Linked DNA regions of Styela clava. The protein of the gene in region 2 interacts with the protein of the main gene of each other region in a pairwise test. Links are inferred from orthologs where the notes say so. Each region holds a gene or a part of one and is shown on either strand. Other genes may lie near its edges.

Region 1 (8,217 bases), on a different chromosome or scaffold from region 2:
TACAAAAATGGTCATTATAATTACCATATTTCTCCACATATGGTACATACTTTCAGAGCAAAAATTTAAGTTCAGAATGAGGGGGTGCATTATGCAATGACATAGAAAATATTGAAAAAATAATAATCCCTATTTTATGCCTAAATGGCTAATAATTCTCACATATATTAATCTCTATTAGGATCAGATCATGCTTGTTTCGGTAGAAGCCCAATCCAAAGAAATTTAGGGTTAGTAAAAGTAGCAAGAATTTTAACGAATTCAATAACTCCGAAAGCCGAAAAAAAAAGTTAAAGAACAGTTGTATATCGTTAACTGCTGTCACCGTCTTGCCGTTTCTCTCCCTCACACATATGTCACCCAAATTAGTGACCATGACTCTTTTTTGAAGTGCAGCATCTGAAAACACGCTCTGACATCAGGCTTAATAGTGCTAAAATGAATATGCGCATTATGGGTGCGCATTATGTCCAGAGAAAATTGATAAATATACGATATGAAATTGGCAAATATCAACTCACCATTGGGAACAGAGCAGTTTGTAATCTGTGGATTCTGATATAATCCTTGCAACATGATCGTCTGTAAAATTGAAAATAACAATAATTACTAAGCAGTTAGACATTGTTAAAATGAAGCCATTGGAAATGAATTAAATGAATATAAAAAATGAATCTGGAAATCACCCTATATATATATATATATATATATATAAACGGTTCATTCCTAGTCAAAGTAAGATTCATGATATCATTTACTGAAACCTATAAAATTAGATGAGGATAAATATCATTCATAAAAATTAAATACCTGGCTGAAAGTGGGTTTGTTGTGAAGTCTTGAACAACGATCTCCATGACGACAAGCTCCAATCTTGAAGTAGAAAGAACAATTTACCCTGAAAATAGAAAAAAAAAACAGAATCAGCAATGAAAAAATTACAAAATCAAGTTTAAAATTTCTTTTGCGTTTGAAGAGGTCGAGTTTATTTTTTACAAACAATTACAAATTTCAAAACAGCTATAAGCATGCGCTATATGTTGCGATTCATACAAAAGGCATACAGAATTGCGCTCAAGCCAGAATTTTGAATCTGGACTAAGTTAGATTAATCAGAATACAAAAGGGATTCCATTATTCAAATTTAATTACAGTGGTGTGGCACATCGTGCTAAGAGTTAGGAATACGATCACCACTGCACCTTTAATTACACTGCGGGTTCGCAGGTTCGAATTTCATGCGAGTATAATTATGTGCAAAAGGATTGCTGGACTCCTCGCCGCCAGGGATGTTCAGGTAACGTAACTGCTGGTCGGTTACGGCTTCCTCCACCATCAAGTCCATGCTTCTTGACTTTGAAGGCATCAGTTATTATTTTTATTTCACAATCACGATGTAATGCATTTTTCGCTAAACCACTGTGGAAAATATTGTCATAGCATTGACAAATAAGTTTGCAATTGGACAAGTATGGTAGTCAACTAATGAATCAATTGACTAAAATTCCTTGAGGATAATGGGGTTTTTCTTAATATTGCAACTAATACCGTTACATTTCGATATTCAGTCTTGAGGATAATTCAAATCTCTGAAAGGCTTTCAAATATATATATTTTTATGTGTGCTATGGTGGCGAATATTTCACATCTTTTTAGAAAAGTTGGCACTCAGCTACACAACTTGAGCCTCGCCATACCTAAGCGCGACATTACAGCATCAAGCATTGCTTTTGTATTTTGTTAAACGATGCATTTCGAATTTCGTTTAAATACCGGCCAGTCTGGATTTCATGGCCTTTTTGAACGAGAAATCGGGCGTGCAATCAGAAATTCCCGCGTGCAAATAAGAATTCCTGGCGTGCAATTATAGCTCACGACGTGCAAAACAACTGCACTCGCGTGCAACTGACTTTGACATCAGATACCTCTCAATAAATCCGCGTAAAATTACCGGTATCGGATAAAAAATACGTTGAATCAGAGAAAAAAAATGGACGTTTGACCTTTGACCCCAAACATTATTTCTACAGTTTGTCGCTAATTTTGAGAGTGTTTGTGCGACTTTGGATACCGGTACTGTTCAGTACATCCGCGTAAAATTATTGGATAAAAATTACGTTGAACCAGAGCAAAATGGACATACTTTGTCATTAATTTTGGTAGTGTTTTTACGTAGAATTAATGGATAAAAAATACGTCAAATTAGAGCAAAATGGACGTTTGACCTTTGACCCCAAACATTATTTTCATACTTTGTCACTAATTTTGGGAGTGTTTGAGCAACTTTAGATACCGGTACTGTTCAGTACATTCGTGTAAAATTATTGTATGAAAAATACGCTGAATCAGAGCCGTACTTGGCCATTGGTGCGGAGGCGATCTTTTCGTCCATAACTATTCTCACGGGATTCCTATTTCCTATCATTCAACACGATATGGACCTTTCCCCGAGCATCGACTTCCTTGTTTACTTCGTGACATTGGCCAATCAGCAAGATGCAAAAAAGGACGTAACAATGAGAAGAATTTTTCGCGGGTCAAAGGTTGGGGAAAGGTCCATGGTCTTTTTGCTTCGCAATATTTCGATCAGACCAAATCTTGCAGGCTGGTATTTGTCGACAATTGTGGAGTTATAATATTTTGGCATCTTTATATTACTGGATTATTGATTTTAAAACCATTTAAACCGATTTACATTGGTGAGCAATTGCAAATTTTCGGCGTGCAAAATTGATTTCGCTCGCGTGCATTTTTGCGGAGCGCTAGCGCCCTCGGGCGTGCACCTGCCATGGAATCCAGTCTGGCATGTAACCGGACAAGAGGCACTTCTGCACTTGGTTCGACATATGATTAAGCGGTCTTTCATCTCACCCGAGATAAATATGTAAATCGTATTTCAACTGCAATTTCTATTGTAGACCACAAGAGGAAATCAAATATCCAATCAGTACCGGTACCGGTACGCTATTGAATGTTTTAGAGTTCCTGAATACAGAAACATAAATTGAAAATAAGTAACTCACTTGTCTTTTTCTGTCCCAAAAATCGAGGCCAGATACTCCGCCATGTTTGCGATGGGATACTGATATATTGACGAACCTCTTGCGTCGAAATATTACTCAATGACAAAATCAGCAAATAGTCCAAATACAGAAATACCGTACCACAGCCAACTCGCAAGACCTCCAATCACAAACACACGCAGTGAAAATTTCTTGACGTTTCTCGTTGGTTCAGCGTTTATTATCACTAGTGGGCGTAGGTGCTCGAATGAAGTGATCGGAGTCAAGTTTTGTAGGCGCCAAATCCTTTCGGATAAATGAAACAAATTAATTTGATACATTTCTATTGCCATTAGCATTATAAAAATATTCTTATCCGCACGAAAAATAATTTTATCCGTAAAATGTTTCAGAAGCTTGGCGAACGCTTGAATTCAACAAAAATTTGCACGTGAAAATAATATGTAGCGTAGCTATTTTGGGGTGAATTTTTCAGTAATCACCAGTTTATTTTGACCCTACCGAAATACATTTTATGAATAAACAATAAAAATGAAGTAATTTGCTACCTCAGGGTAAAGGGAGGCGCGAGACATCATTACTGGTTATCGTGCAGCGACACCATTATCTTCCACATAACTTTACACTTAACTATTCGATCGCATTATTGTCAATCAAGCATACGAGTATTTTTCTATTTTCACTACATTCTAAAACAGTGGTTCCTAAACTTTTTAAGCCGCGCCTCCCTTCGAAAAATTTTACAAACTTCGCGCCCCCCCCTCTTTTTGCTTCGAAAAAATGCTTTTGTGATGGACAAGTTGTTATATATCAAGATGGCGCTATAACAGAGTGTTGGTCTCATAGCGTCACTGTCGTATGTATAAAGCCAAATAGTGATTGGCCATCATACATTCTTGTTTTTCCGCTCAGTTTGCAATACTTGGCAAAGTCAAACTAATTATTAAGTAAAACTAAACAAGCAATAAACCAATGCTTTAAATATTTTCTGCTTAAGCGTTTACATAAGACACGTAAAATTTCAATTAATTGTTGTCGCTAAGGCGTTTGCGATTGCATTTTGTTTAAATCTCCATTGTTTACGTCAGCGTGGCGTGGTATTTGAGCCCTAAAAATCTTGAATTCAGTGTCTATTCTTTCTAAATCCAAAATTTCCCTCGACATATTCTTGTGAAGCGAAGACGATTATAATTACTTTTTTTGTTCTCGAATGGAACCATGTCACCTATGAGGAAAACGGGTTAGTTTTTATTATAATCATCAGCGACGAGATGCTAAAGATAGAAGAAAGAAGTGAATCCGTAACTAAAAATTTCTTTATTGTAAAAGTGGCATTATAAAAAGAAAAAAAAAAACGAAAAACGCCATGAGTTTTGTTTTGGGGTGGACCGCGACAGATTAAAAACACTTTCTTAGACATTGAAAATCTCATTAATTCCTTGTGCGTGCGGCACACCAGTAGTGTTCTAAAACTACAGACTTGATATAAATTTTACTTCGTGGGATCGCAGACTTAGGAATATCTATAACGGTGATATCTTGAAATTAATCGAGTGGCGGCATTGCGATAGAGCGAAGTAAGAGTTGCAGGGACAGCTCATATTGGTGAAATTGGCAAGAATACAAATCAAAACAAAATGTAATCGACATTTCTATGATTGCGGATTACCGTGTTATTTTGGAGTACTGGCGCTTTTATTTTATCGACGCAATCGCAGATTCAATTTATTAGAATTGAATGAATAAAGCAACCATTTTAAATAAGTATATCGGTCATGGATTGAATATTTTATTCAACAGAAAAACCATTACATTACCGTTGAAAAAGTCGACTCTTTCAACGACTGGCGTAACCTCGAGGACTGACTCAGAAGCCGTACCGCAGGGATTTCGTTTCGATGAATATGTATTTTTTATCTACTAATATACTTTACATGTATTTTAATTGTACTATATTAAATATACTTTCTGAGATATTATACCAGATCTTTCTAATGACGACAACGAATTCCCATGAGTGCAATATATATAAAAACTAAATATAACCGGGCAGTTGATTATACTTAATTATGTCCGCGGATTGGCGTGGTATTTTAGATAAGTAATGAGTTTATTTTGTCGTGAGTCGCCGCAACCGCGAGTTACCTTGAACACAAATGAATTAAAATAGAGAGACATTTTGAATTATTGTAGTTATTACGAGACAGAAAAATTCATTATAACACGAAAAAGTCGGTATTTTGAACGAACGCGGAGACCGTTTCAGGAGCCGTAACATGTAAATTTCCGATTCCATCTGGTGAGCATCTCGCGCCCCCCAGTTTAATAGCCACTGTTCTACAATAAATCATCACCGTTTTGAATACCAAACTTTTGTTTGCGACCTTGCTTGCGCCATCCTAGTTGATATGGTTTAGGTAATTATAATACATTATTATATATTTCTTTTTTTAAATTTTTAGATATCTGATGAATGTATACAGTACGTAATATTACATATTACATGTTTTTTTACTTTGTTAATTTAAATCGGAATATTGTGTTTTTATATATCATTTTAATTAAGTGATGATTAATTGATATCACAATTTGTCGTATGCCAGGCCAATGAGTCAAAAAGAATCTTTCCGGTATAATCGTCAATGGTTTGAACATTTGACTGATTTATCTTGATACTACTTACTTTTGGTGTGTTTACGTATGGTTCACTGCATCGTGATTATTGGCTGATTACTTGATTACTTCTTGTTATGGTTAACTGTCTAGAGCTTTAGTCTGTCTTTAGATCTGTTCTCATAAGCTTGTTAATGGTGCTATAGTCATTGGGTATGAATATTCTATTTCTTAAGTTTCTTACATTGGGATAATCTGTTCTGACAAAGCCTCATTTAAATGTAAGTGAATTGGTATATTCTTGCTTTGTATTGTGCCTGGTTGCCTGTACTCATTTTAATATTCATCTTTATTGTTTGTCAGGTCACTTTGTCTTACTGATATCTGGATTAAATCACTTTGGGAGAAATCTATTCGTTTCATTTCGGGATATTAGTTAAAGAGACATAGTAGGCAAGGGTGATTTGTCAATGGGCAGAAATCCAAATTAGTGACATTTAATGATACTGCACCTACACCTACAAACTGGAGTCTGAATCAAGCAGTTCTTCTTCAACCTTTCGAGGATTCAGCAATACATCAAAGCAAGAATGCCAACTAACAATGGCAGAATATTTTCAAGGTCAGAATTTCAAACAACTCAAGAGTAAGTTTCCGGTACTCAAAGTAAATTTGGAAAGAATTTTAACACGATTTGAGCACTCTCTGGAAAGAAGAGATTTTGAAAAGGTCAAAATACTGTTTCATGATGCTAACGATAAAATAGCATTTTTGGTCTGTCTAATTGATACTATGGAATTGGCTCTAATTGAAGAAGACAGTACTACACAAAGTGAGGAAAAACCCGTTATATCTAAATTTAGTGAAGAAATTTTACGTGTGGAAAACAAGATTGCAATCGATTTTGAGAAATATGAAGACAAACTAGATATAAAGCCGGTGATATCATCTCTTGTAACCGCTCAAAACAATTATAATAATGATCCTCCTATGATTAAGTTATGTGGTATGGATCCGCCATGCTGGAACGGACAAAAAGTAGACTTTTATACCTGGAAAGAACGTTTTACACATATAATGCACCATGCTAGAATTACGGATGATTTAGTGCAAATTTCATGGCTTATACGCAATGGTGCAATGCCAAACGATTATCAAACAATGATATGTGACTGTAAATCAATTTCAAGTGCATGGGAACGCCTGGAAGAGCGTATTCCTAAATCAGTAGTTCAACGTGAAGTAATCAAGCAATACGAGCAAATAAAACCTTTATATAAGACCTCTCGTAATCCAGCGAACCTTAGGCGACTAGCTCACGAAATTTCTCTCTTCTGCCGACGTATGGAAGATCTTGGGTTAAAACAGGATGCAAACTCGGTTATTTCTGTCAATAGAGCATTAGAGTGTCTAGATGCAGACACTGCACTGCGATATAATAGTTCCAGCAAAGGTAATCATAACTTGGAATCTATAACGAATTTTCTGAGATCTGAAGCTACAGCATTGGAAATATCTGGTAACTTTATCAGTCAAACCGAGAATATGAGGTTTCGACCGAGACAAAACCAGTCGCCAAGATCTAATTTCAATACGGTTAATCATGCTACAGACGAGAATGATAACATGGGTTCAGTTCAGCCACGTCAAAGGACAGTCACTTGTATTTTTGGATGTGGAATTCAGCACCGCCTTATAGACTGCAACAAATATCAAAACCTATCAATTCCTGAAAGAAAAAACTTTATAGCAGATGATCGAAGATGTTTTATATGTCTAGGAACTCACTTTGCAAGAAATTGTGCGAGAACAACAGCCAATAGCTGTGTAAATTGTAACCAAAGACAGCATCATTGGTCATTATGTCCCGGAAAAGTACAAGGAAATTACAATACAATGAGAAATTCTGGTATGAACGACTCGAATTTGGAAAGTCAACATATTCACTCTAATGCAGCAGTATTCAACCAATCTCAGATGCATTCAAGACAATTGAGCGCTTTTAATTTGGATTATTCTCCATTACTTGTTGCAGAAGTGCAGGCGAGTGACAAAACATGGATCCAGGCAAATTTCTTTCTTGATGGTGGCAGTAACCATTCTTTGGTAAGACGTAATTTTGTAAAATCATTGAAACAAAAGGCAGTAGGACATGGAACAATTCGGTTTGGTGTCGCAGGAGGAGCCATTCATGAAGAACCTTCTGAAGATTATAATTTGAAAATTAGACCTCTTTCACGAGACCAGATATTTGATATCAGAGTTACGGCTGTGAGAAAACCTTGTCACGATGTTACACCAATTCCGCCATCTATTTTTAAACAGTTTGAATATCTAAGAGGAATTCAGGATAAAATACCAGTTGGGCAAAAAACAGTCGATGTTCTTGTTGGTAGAGATTATGCACCTTTAATTCAAACAATGCATTCATTACGTTCGCCAATTGATCCCGATAATCATCCTTCAGCAGCTTTCACATCTCTTGGATGCTATCTATATGGAGGCATTATTCAAGCACCGCAACGATCTTTCAATCATGTAGCAAATATTAATAGTTTTTCATCATTAGAAAATGAAGAGT
Region 2 (8,082 bases):
TAAAGCTATATAATCAAATTACCTTTGCGTGGTTATCTTTAGCTCTGGTATGGGACGTACTTGATTTGAATCAAATTGCGAAATTGTTCAGGTCATCACCATCATGAAAACTTTGATACTACGCTTACGCATTTTTGATGCTGAATGAGCTCTATCGTAAATTTCCTGTGGAATATCAGGACTAGGTCCCTCTATATAACCCGGTACAAATTGTACAGAAATTTGTTGGATAAATTGATGTTAGGGTGGGCTGTTGGAACCCCTAGTAAAATGGGTTTTGCGCAGAAACCATAAGAAGTTACTATGAAAATAAGAATAATAATTCTGACAATACATTTGATACGGAATATTTCCATAACATATATTTGGTTGTTGACTATTAGGATAAACAACACCAGCCAAGGACGCCGGATTAACGGGTCTAGGAACGGTTGTAACAATTGTGGTATCGTTACTCCTAACACTTGGTGTTGTCATGCCAGACGCAAATCCAGAAAAGTAACAAAAACATTAGATATACTTGATACAAAAACTTCTGTCGCACTAGAAGTTGACGGAATATCTTCATCTTTTGATTGATTCGGTATTTTACGCGGAATTTTTTTTTCACTGTGTCGATGCGGAGCGACAGGTATCCAAGTAGGGTACTCGAAATGTAAATGTACGTAGCCTATGTTGTTTTAATAATGTTCTGGAGCGATCTGTTGCGCAATTCCATACACCACAGCAGATATTATTAAAGTATTGTTCTGTCATTGTCCAGTTTGTCGTTTCTCAATCTAAATTAATTGGACTAATGTTCAAGTGTTCTGTAACCGAGTAGCCAAACGAAGTTTGATTTGATGATGCGAATTGTCCAAAACTCGGTTATTTTCGTCAAGTTGAGTTCTGATGTTGTGTCAGTAAAACCAGAAAACCTAATTATATAAAATGTATAAGAAGCTGCTTCGCTATATATAGTTTTCATTGTCTGACTCACAATTAGAATATAAATTTTTGCAATCAAAATTGATCGTGGATCATTTTGTTATTATGTTGTTGTTACCGCTTCTTCTTGTTGTTACCGTATGAAAAAATCGTTAACTATACTGAACCAATTGCTTTGAAATTTTCAGTGGTTAAAGATTATATTATTCGTTCGATGGCTATTACTATTATTTATTCCTAAATTTTTATATGAATCCGACGAGATCTGATATTTCATCCAAAGTTCCGCTGTATTATTACCTACTGCTTGCGGTCTCCGGTGTTCGCGTTAGGCTGGTGAATCATGGTTCATCATAGTAGAGAAGTCTTTTAGATTGATTCAGATTTCCTATTTGTCTTTTCAGCGATCTAGAAAAAGAATTGTAAATGTAAGGGAGTGTAGAATCTTAGCAGAAAATCGTATTAAATTTGTGTGTGTTTTTAAGGGCACATTTTTATATGAAGATGCTAATGAAAGTAAAAACAATGAATATGATGACGTTGGATTTGGCAAACGACCTAGTTCCCAAAACAATATCATTGTAGTTGAGATTGAGCTTCAGAAAGTCAGACCTGCGCCAATCACTTTGATTGTTGGAATTGATAACAAGAACCAAGGGTCATCCAAAAACGAACCTGGAGTTAAGCCCAATTGTTTTTTCGCAAGCCCGAATGCGGCGCAGTTCACCAAGAGTAACAGAAAAATAATTCGACGTTTGGGAAACCATAGTTTTTTTTCTTCTGCGAATTAAAAATAAAAGAGGAGGGGGGATGTTTGACGTTGCCTCTAGTCCTAACACTGAACTAACTAAGATGTAAGTTTGCTGCCAGTTCCTATATAAGCGGAGAGGTTTATGTTGTTCGAAGTTACAGGTTTTTCAAATATGTTTTTGCGCAATTCGGGATCATCAATTTAATGCAAAGATTACCGCTATGTTACGACATTCCTATCTTGAAATGTTTTCATAAATTCGATTTTTTTTTTAATTTTATGGAGACTTTGCGACTTGTTTTGAACAGTCCTCAGCAACAATAACTACAGTATATTTATTACACTAATCAATGATAAATTATTCTACTCACCACCGCGTTCTCAATTTTGCACAATCGATTTTTTGTTTGCTCTCGCCATTCTGTCCAGTTTCTTCATCGCATCATTTGTGGGTCCAACTATCATTGGTCAACGTGGGGATTCGGGGAACTGCTTGCAAACGATGGTATTCAGATTACAGAATCGCATGGTGAAATTTTAATTCCATTCATATATACCATGAAACTAGAAAAATATTTGTATTAATAATAATAAATGTTCACTACTACTGCGATGAGGTCATAATATACGCAGGTTAAATTTGATATACTGACAATTTAGGATTTCGAATGAGACTAAATCTAAAGGCTAAATCTGGCGTTTTGTCTGTATACTGAAGTACAGGTGTTTCTACGAGAATCGACTTACTTGACTACTTTCGCAACATTATCTAATCAGCAAGATGTTAACGGTGACTTCACAATGACAACTTTGCGTTTGATATGAAACCAAAAGAACGAGGCCATATCCGGATTCAATATGCATACATTGTACCAACTGCCATAACATTTACTTATTTCACCGTTTTTTTCAAAAAAATATTTTTCTTTTTTATTGGATTTTCATAAAATAATACAATATTGCAATAAAATAAAACAATATTGTAATAAACAATATCAATCAACAAACAATACATCATAGCAATACATAACAACATCATTCCAGATAACTCTATGCATAACTAGGCTTACCATACGTCCCGCTTTAGGCGGGACAGTCCCACTTTTCAACGTCTTGTCCCGGTATCCCGACAGGTCAGCCAAATGTCCCGCTTTGGCGTTCAACCAGTCAGCATAAAACACGAACAATACAAATTATAATGTTATTGACACTGTTGTTGCTGTGTAGCGTACCGTTAGCCTTCTTACTGAAGATGCGTGCGTGGTTTTGTTTGTTCCGTTGTTTTGTTACATTACGGATAATTGCTACATTTTGTTACGTGTAAGCATCGTACGCCAAAAGGGGGCTTAACGTTAACGTAAATTTATTTCTATTTTTCGAACTGAAACCGATAATTAGACAGACAGCGCATGAACTTTCGATTACAATATGGTCAATGAAGACGGTTGGAATGGTTTTAAATATAGGCCCCCAATGTAAAATTTAAAGGAGCAAAAATCACAGATATGGTCTTTGGGGGGTCCCGCTTCGAGATCACAAAAATGTGGTAACTCGTGAGATATCGCGTGCATCTAACAGACAGACAGACAGACAGACAGACAGACAGACAGACAGACAGACAGACAGACAGACAGACAGACAGACAGACAGACAGACAGACAGACAGACAGACAGACAAATACCTATCAACATACTTACCGATTAAAATCGATAAGTAATAAAGGTAATAAGGTTTCAATATGTTGTTTACATATTTCACACACAGCACATACTAAGTCAGTGGTTCCCAACCGGCTGTCCGCGGACCGGTGTCGGTCCGCGAAGCTTTTTTGCCGGTCCGCGAGAAATTTCGTTGTTACTTATCGATTTTAATCGGTAAGTAAGTTGATAGGTATTTGTCTGTCTGTCTGTCTGTCTGTCTGTCTGTTAGATGCATGCAATATCTCACTAAAGCAATATTGAATCTGCTCCAGATTGTGCATTCATCATATGTCGAACCAGAAGCCTATTGGTTTTGGATGAATTACATTGTATAATTAGCAAGTTATTAATTAATTAGTGATGGGACACAAGGTGTCACTATGGAGTAAGAGCGCTGTTTTGGGGATCTCAGAGCTACGTGTTGCGAAAACTTCTTTGAGGCCTCGTTTGCTATCCTATATTGGAAACGGAGCAAACAGCAGCAAAATTCTCAGTTAATTGCGTTTGCACATGATTTGGTATGTACATGTTTTTTATGTGAGATGTTTTATGCTTGCCTTTCTTATTCATAATGGGTGCTCAGCACTGCATTTCATTACGCAAATACATAGTATTATTTTATGTTTCACTCATTTCAATTTTTGGCCGGCACATTATTTGATAGTTTTTCTTCGTGTGAAAGTTTTTAAGTGTGCCTTTTTGGCTAGAAGCATATTGAGCGCCTGACATTGCAATATATTATGCAAATATATGTTATTCTTTTCTGTTCCGGTCATTTCAATTTCTTGCCGGTCCGCGAGTACATTTAATTTAATTTTATCGCCGGCGGGTAAAAAGGTTGGGAACCATTGTACTACCGTGTTTTCCCGGAAAAAAGAACGGTGTCTTATTTCAATGTTTTTTCGATAAATACCACTAGGGCCTATTTTTTTTTGGAGGGGGGGGGGTGTTTTTTATTTTCATTTATCAAAAACAAAATAATAAATTAGAGATTTTCAAATATAAAAATGTAATAACCGATATTCATTCATGTATAAATAACACGTTTTTATTTAAAAAAAAACTGCTAAACATACATTATAATACCTTAAAACGGGTAGGAAAGATTTCTTGTTATCGAAAAAAGTCAAAAAAAAAATTGTTTTATTTTAATAGCTCACTTATCATCCTTCTTAACACTTTCTTAGAAGAAATCAAGTAATATTAACTGAAAAAACTACCGTATTGAAAGTGATATCCATCCGACCATGGGGGATCCACCTACAGCTGACCAATTTAATTGTTACATCATACAGAAGTCTGCGTTCATTGGTCCATGATACCGGAAAAGCAGAGAATATAGGACAGATCATAGCGCATATTTCTTGTAGTAAAAGCTAAAGCGTCTTTTCCGTAAAGCGTGCAACTTTTGGAAATGGGAACAAGTCATTATTTGTTAGCAAATTTTTAAGGAACATTTTAAAATCATTTTCAGGTAGTTCACTTTTGTGCGCTACGAAACTGAAAGATAAACTGCCTCGGCTCGCGGCCTATAAGTAAGTATCCATTTTCATATAGTCTATGTGTCACTATCGCCTCTAGTGATGAGGAATAATCACGTGACTTGTAGTTCCTTTCCTCGAGTCTGACATATTTGCGTCTGCAATTGTTCTGTACTGCTCGTCAGCCGTCTGTGGGTGAATAATTCGTGATACATTAGAAACCTCAGTGAATTTAAATTTTTCGTACCTGATTTTTAATTGTATTGTCGAAATTGGAGGTTCAGGAAGTACAATATGGACCAGAACCAACAGGCCTTTATGAAGGTAGTATACCGTACCGGTATTCCGGTTTGTTCTCTGCTGCCTGACTGCTCTAGGCTGGCAATTATATTTTAATTCCATAACGTACGTTAATTTGTTTGAGTATCTGAATTGAAATAATTATGCATAATATAATTGTTATAGTGAAAATACGGTACTGCAATTTTGCCTCCACGTCATACAAGCATACGGTACCGTACTGTACACATGAATGCATGATGATCAATGAAGTGGTAACTTAACGTTAAACAATACATGAAATAATTATTCAGTTATTAAAATATCAATTCTTAAGCTTATAAATCATGTAAATTACATTTTATCCATACATTTGTATAATAATTCAAGTTTCAGTGTTTGATATTGCTGAAAATATTCCTTTGCTTTTACCAACTGGTACAACCATAGTTTTTCTTTAGGGAGCCAAAAATGAGAAGCAATAGTGTGTCGCAATTCTTTCATCTGATCAGGCATGCTTGATTGATTTCTAATTTCGGTAGAATGAGACAAGACCTAATCAAACATTCAAAAAAGGTTTTTGATAAAATTATTTACATTATTTTCAGCAAGAGGCTGGTCCTGATTCATATGAAAATGGTGGTTATCCACCTGGAAATAATCAAGGATATGGAGAAGATATAAAACCACAAGGTGGCAATGAAGACAGGCGTGATCGTAAGAGGAGAGACAGGTCACGTGATAGAGATCATGACCGGAGACGCAGCAGAGATCGGGATCGTGATAGAGATAGGAAAAGAAGAAGCAAAAGCAGAGAAAAACGTCGAAGGTACTGTGTATGCGAGGATGGCTGAATTTGAATTCATTTCCAAATGTCTTTCAACAATCTCAGATCATAAGCATAATAACCAACTCTGCAGGTCATATTGATATATAAATATGATTCGTGATTGGATTAAATTCAAGTTTTATCTGTATGATAAATAATATTTAGTAATTTTTTTAAATTCATGTAGTTTATTGACTTTTTTATTATCAGATATGGAGTAAGTATCAAAGTAAGTAAGATTTTATTATAAAATATTTTTATAGAATGGATTTTTTTTTTATATTTAAAATAATATAATTTTCTGATTGATTATATTCTAATAGAATTTCAAGTTCCTAATAATGCAGTTTATTTTGTGCCAAGTGATTTGGCTTTTCGGTCCATGGCTATTGTAGGCATATTTATTATATTACAAAGATTTATTATTCTTGTTTTCTAAATTGCAGCGACCCCAAATTTTTTTTAACCCAACAGGCGATCGAGGTCAAGAGAGAATAGAAAGCGACGCAGTCGATCTCGAAGCAAGGAAAAACCAACTACAGCTACAAAGAAAAAGAAACAATACAAATATTGGGACGTGGCACCATCTGGGTTTGAACACCTCACCCCACTTCAATACAAGGCCATGCAAGCAGCTGGACAGATCCCTCTTATGGCTACAACTCCAAGTCTTGGCACTGGGACACCTACTGGTCCAGCGGCACCTCTACCGGGGACACAGATGACTCGTCAGGTTTGTGTGGGTAATTTTACCTGTTTCATGAATTGAATGGATTTATAGTGAAGCAATTTATACACGGATGTATTGTTTTACTGTTTTTCAGCCTTTCTACTTGTTCCAAGCTCGGAGATTATATGTTGGTAACATACCTTTTGGGGTGACAGAGGATGCCATGATGGATTTTTTCAATCAACAAATGAAAATGTCTGGTCTTGCACAAGCGCCCGGAAACCCTGTATTAGCTGTTCAGATAAACCTTGACAAAAATTTTGCTTTCCTAGAGTTCAGATCTGTGGATGAAACTACACAGGTAAATACAGAAATTTTTCAAATCTTGATATATTATTACTGTTAGATATATAAACAGATATAAGTATATATATAAGTAGATATAAAGATTTTTAGAAAGAGATTTGATATAATTCACCGCTAGATAAATAAACAGGACAGAAGTCCAATTGCTATAATATGTCTGAATGCGATATTGTGTACCATTTCTCAACTCGCTGCCATTTCTATTTGCTTAACTGCTTTATATGTTGAAAAAAAATGTAATATTACACCACAACAGTATACCAGACTTTATTCTATAGGCTACAAGGATGGCCAAAGCCGAATATTTTTCTATTTTAAATACATTATGAGAAAACGTTTTCGAATTTGAAGTATTGTTTACATTCTACATTGGGGCAAGTGCATGTGAAAAATTACATGAAATATCTAAAACAACATAAATATAAAAGACATTGTTTTCTCTGTGTTGTTTGTTACGGTTGAGATATTGTATTCGATATTTGATTCGTTTTGGACATCCCTGGTTCTATATCACCAGATAGTGTGATGCAAAACTTACCATCAGCTATTAATACTTATTGCCAAGTAGATATCAAGCTGGAGTATTGTTTCTATTTAAGGCTCTTGCTTTTGATGGTATAAATTTCATGGGTCAATCATTGAAAATTCGACGACCAAGTGACTACAAACCACTGCCAGGATCTTCAGAAACACCTTCTGTTCATCTGCCAGGTGTTGTTTCAACTGTCGTACAAGATTCTCTACATAAGGTAATATTATGTTGTATTGAAATTATGTAGAATTACCGTAGTCAAATTTGTTAAGTCTCTCATACAGTGTTCACTATTAGCGCACTTTTTTGCGAAAATTGCGAAACACTTTCGCAACTTTTTTTAGGGACTGCGAAATAGCACTTTTTTCCGATTTTGAAGAGAAAAAGCACTTTTTTCCGATTTTGAATGGAATAAAAATTCAAAGTTTTCAAATATTTTCGAGTATTAAGTTGACAAATAAGTAACATACTAGTACTTTTGTAACTCAATTCTGCATATCATAACGATATTTATCGGAATTTTAACCTATGAGATGCAGACAAAGG

What was found.
Region 1: the proteins of splicing factor U2AF 50 kDa subunit-like (region 2) and splicing factor U2AF 35 kDa subunit-like interact in binary tests that used the Drosophila melanogaster proteins (3 or more experiments, as listed by UniProt). The link is inferred for Styela clava from reciprocal best matches to the Drosophila melanogaster genes U2af50 and U2af38.

The regions. Positions count from the first base shown.
Region 1 is NC_135253.1:21,304,681-21,312,897, reverse strand, and holds the start of splicing factor U2AF 35 kDa subunit-like, read right to left. Parts: upstream 3,218-8,217; 5' UTR 3,068-3,217; coding exon 3,024-3,067; intron 899-3,023; coding exon 811-898; intron 583-810; coding exon 522-582; intron 1-521. Other genes in the region: uncharacterized protein LOC120344621, read left to right, coding at 6,240-8,217. UniProt on the Drosophila melanogaster protein: Necessary for the splicing of pre-mRNA. Binds to the polypyrimidine tract of introns early during spliceosome assembly.
Region 2 is NC_135261.1:11,542,796-11,550,877, forward strand, and holds the start of splicing factor U2AF 50 kDa subunit-like, read left to right. Parts: upstream 1-5,002; 5' UTR 5,003-5,154; coding exon 5,155-5,184; intron 5,185-5,747; coding exon 5,748-5,968; intron 5,969-6,442; coding exon 6,443-6,707; intron 6,708-6,792; coding exon 6,793-6,999; intron 7,000-7,603; coding exon 7,604-7,753; intron 7,754-8,082. UniProt on the Drosophila melanogaster protein: Necessary for the splicing of pre-mRNA. Binds to the polypyrimidine tract of introns early during spliceosome assembly.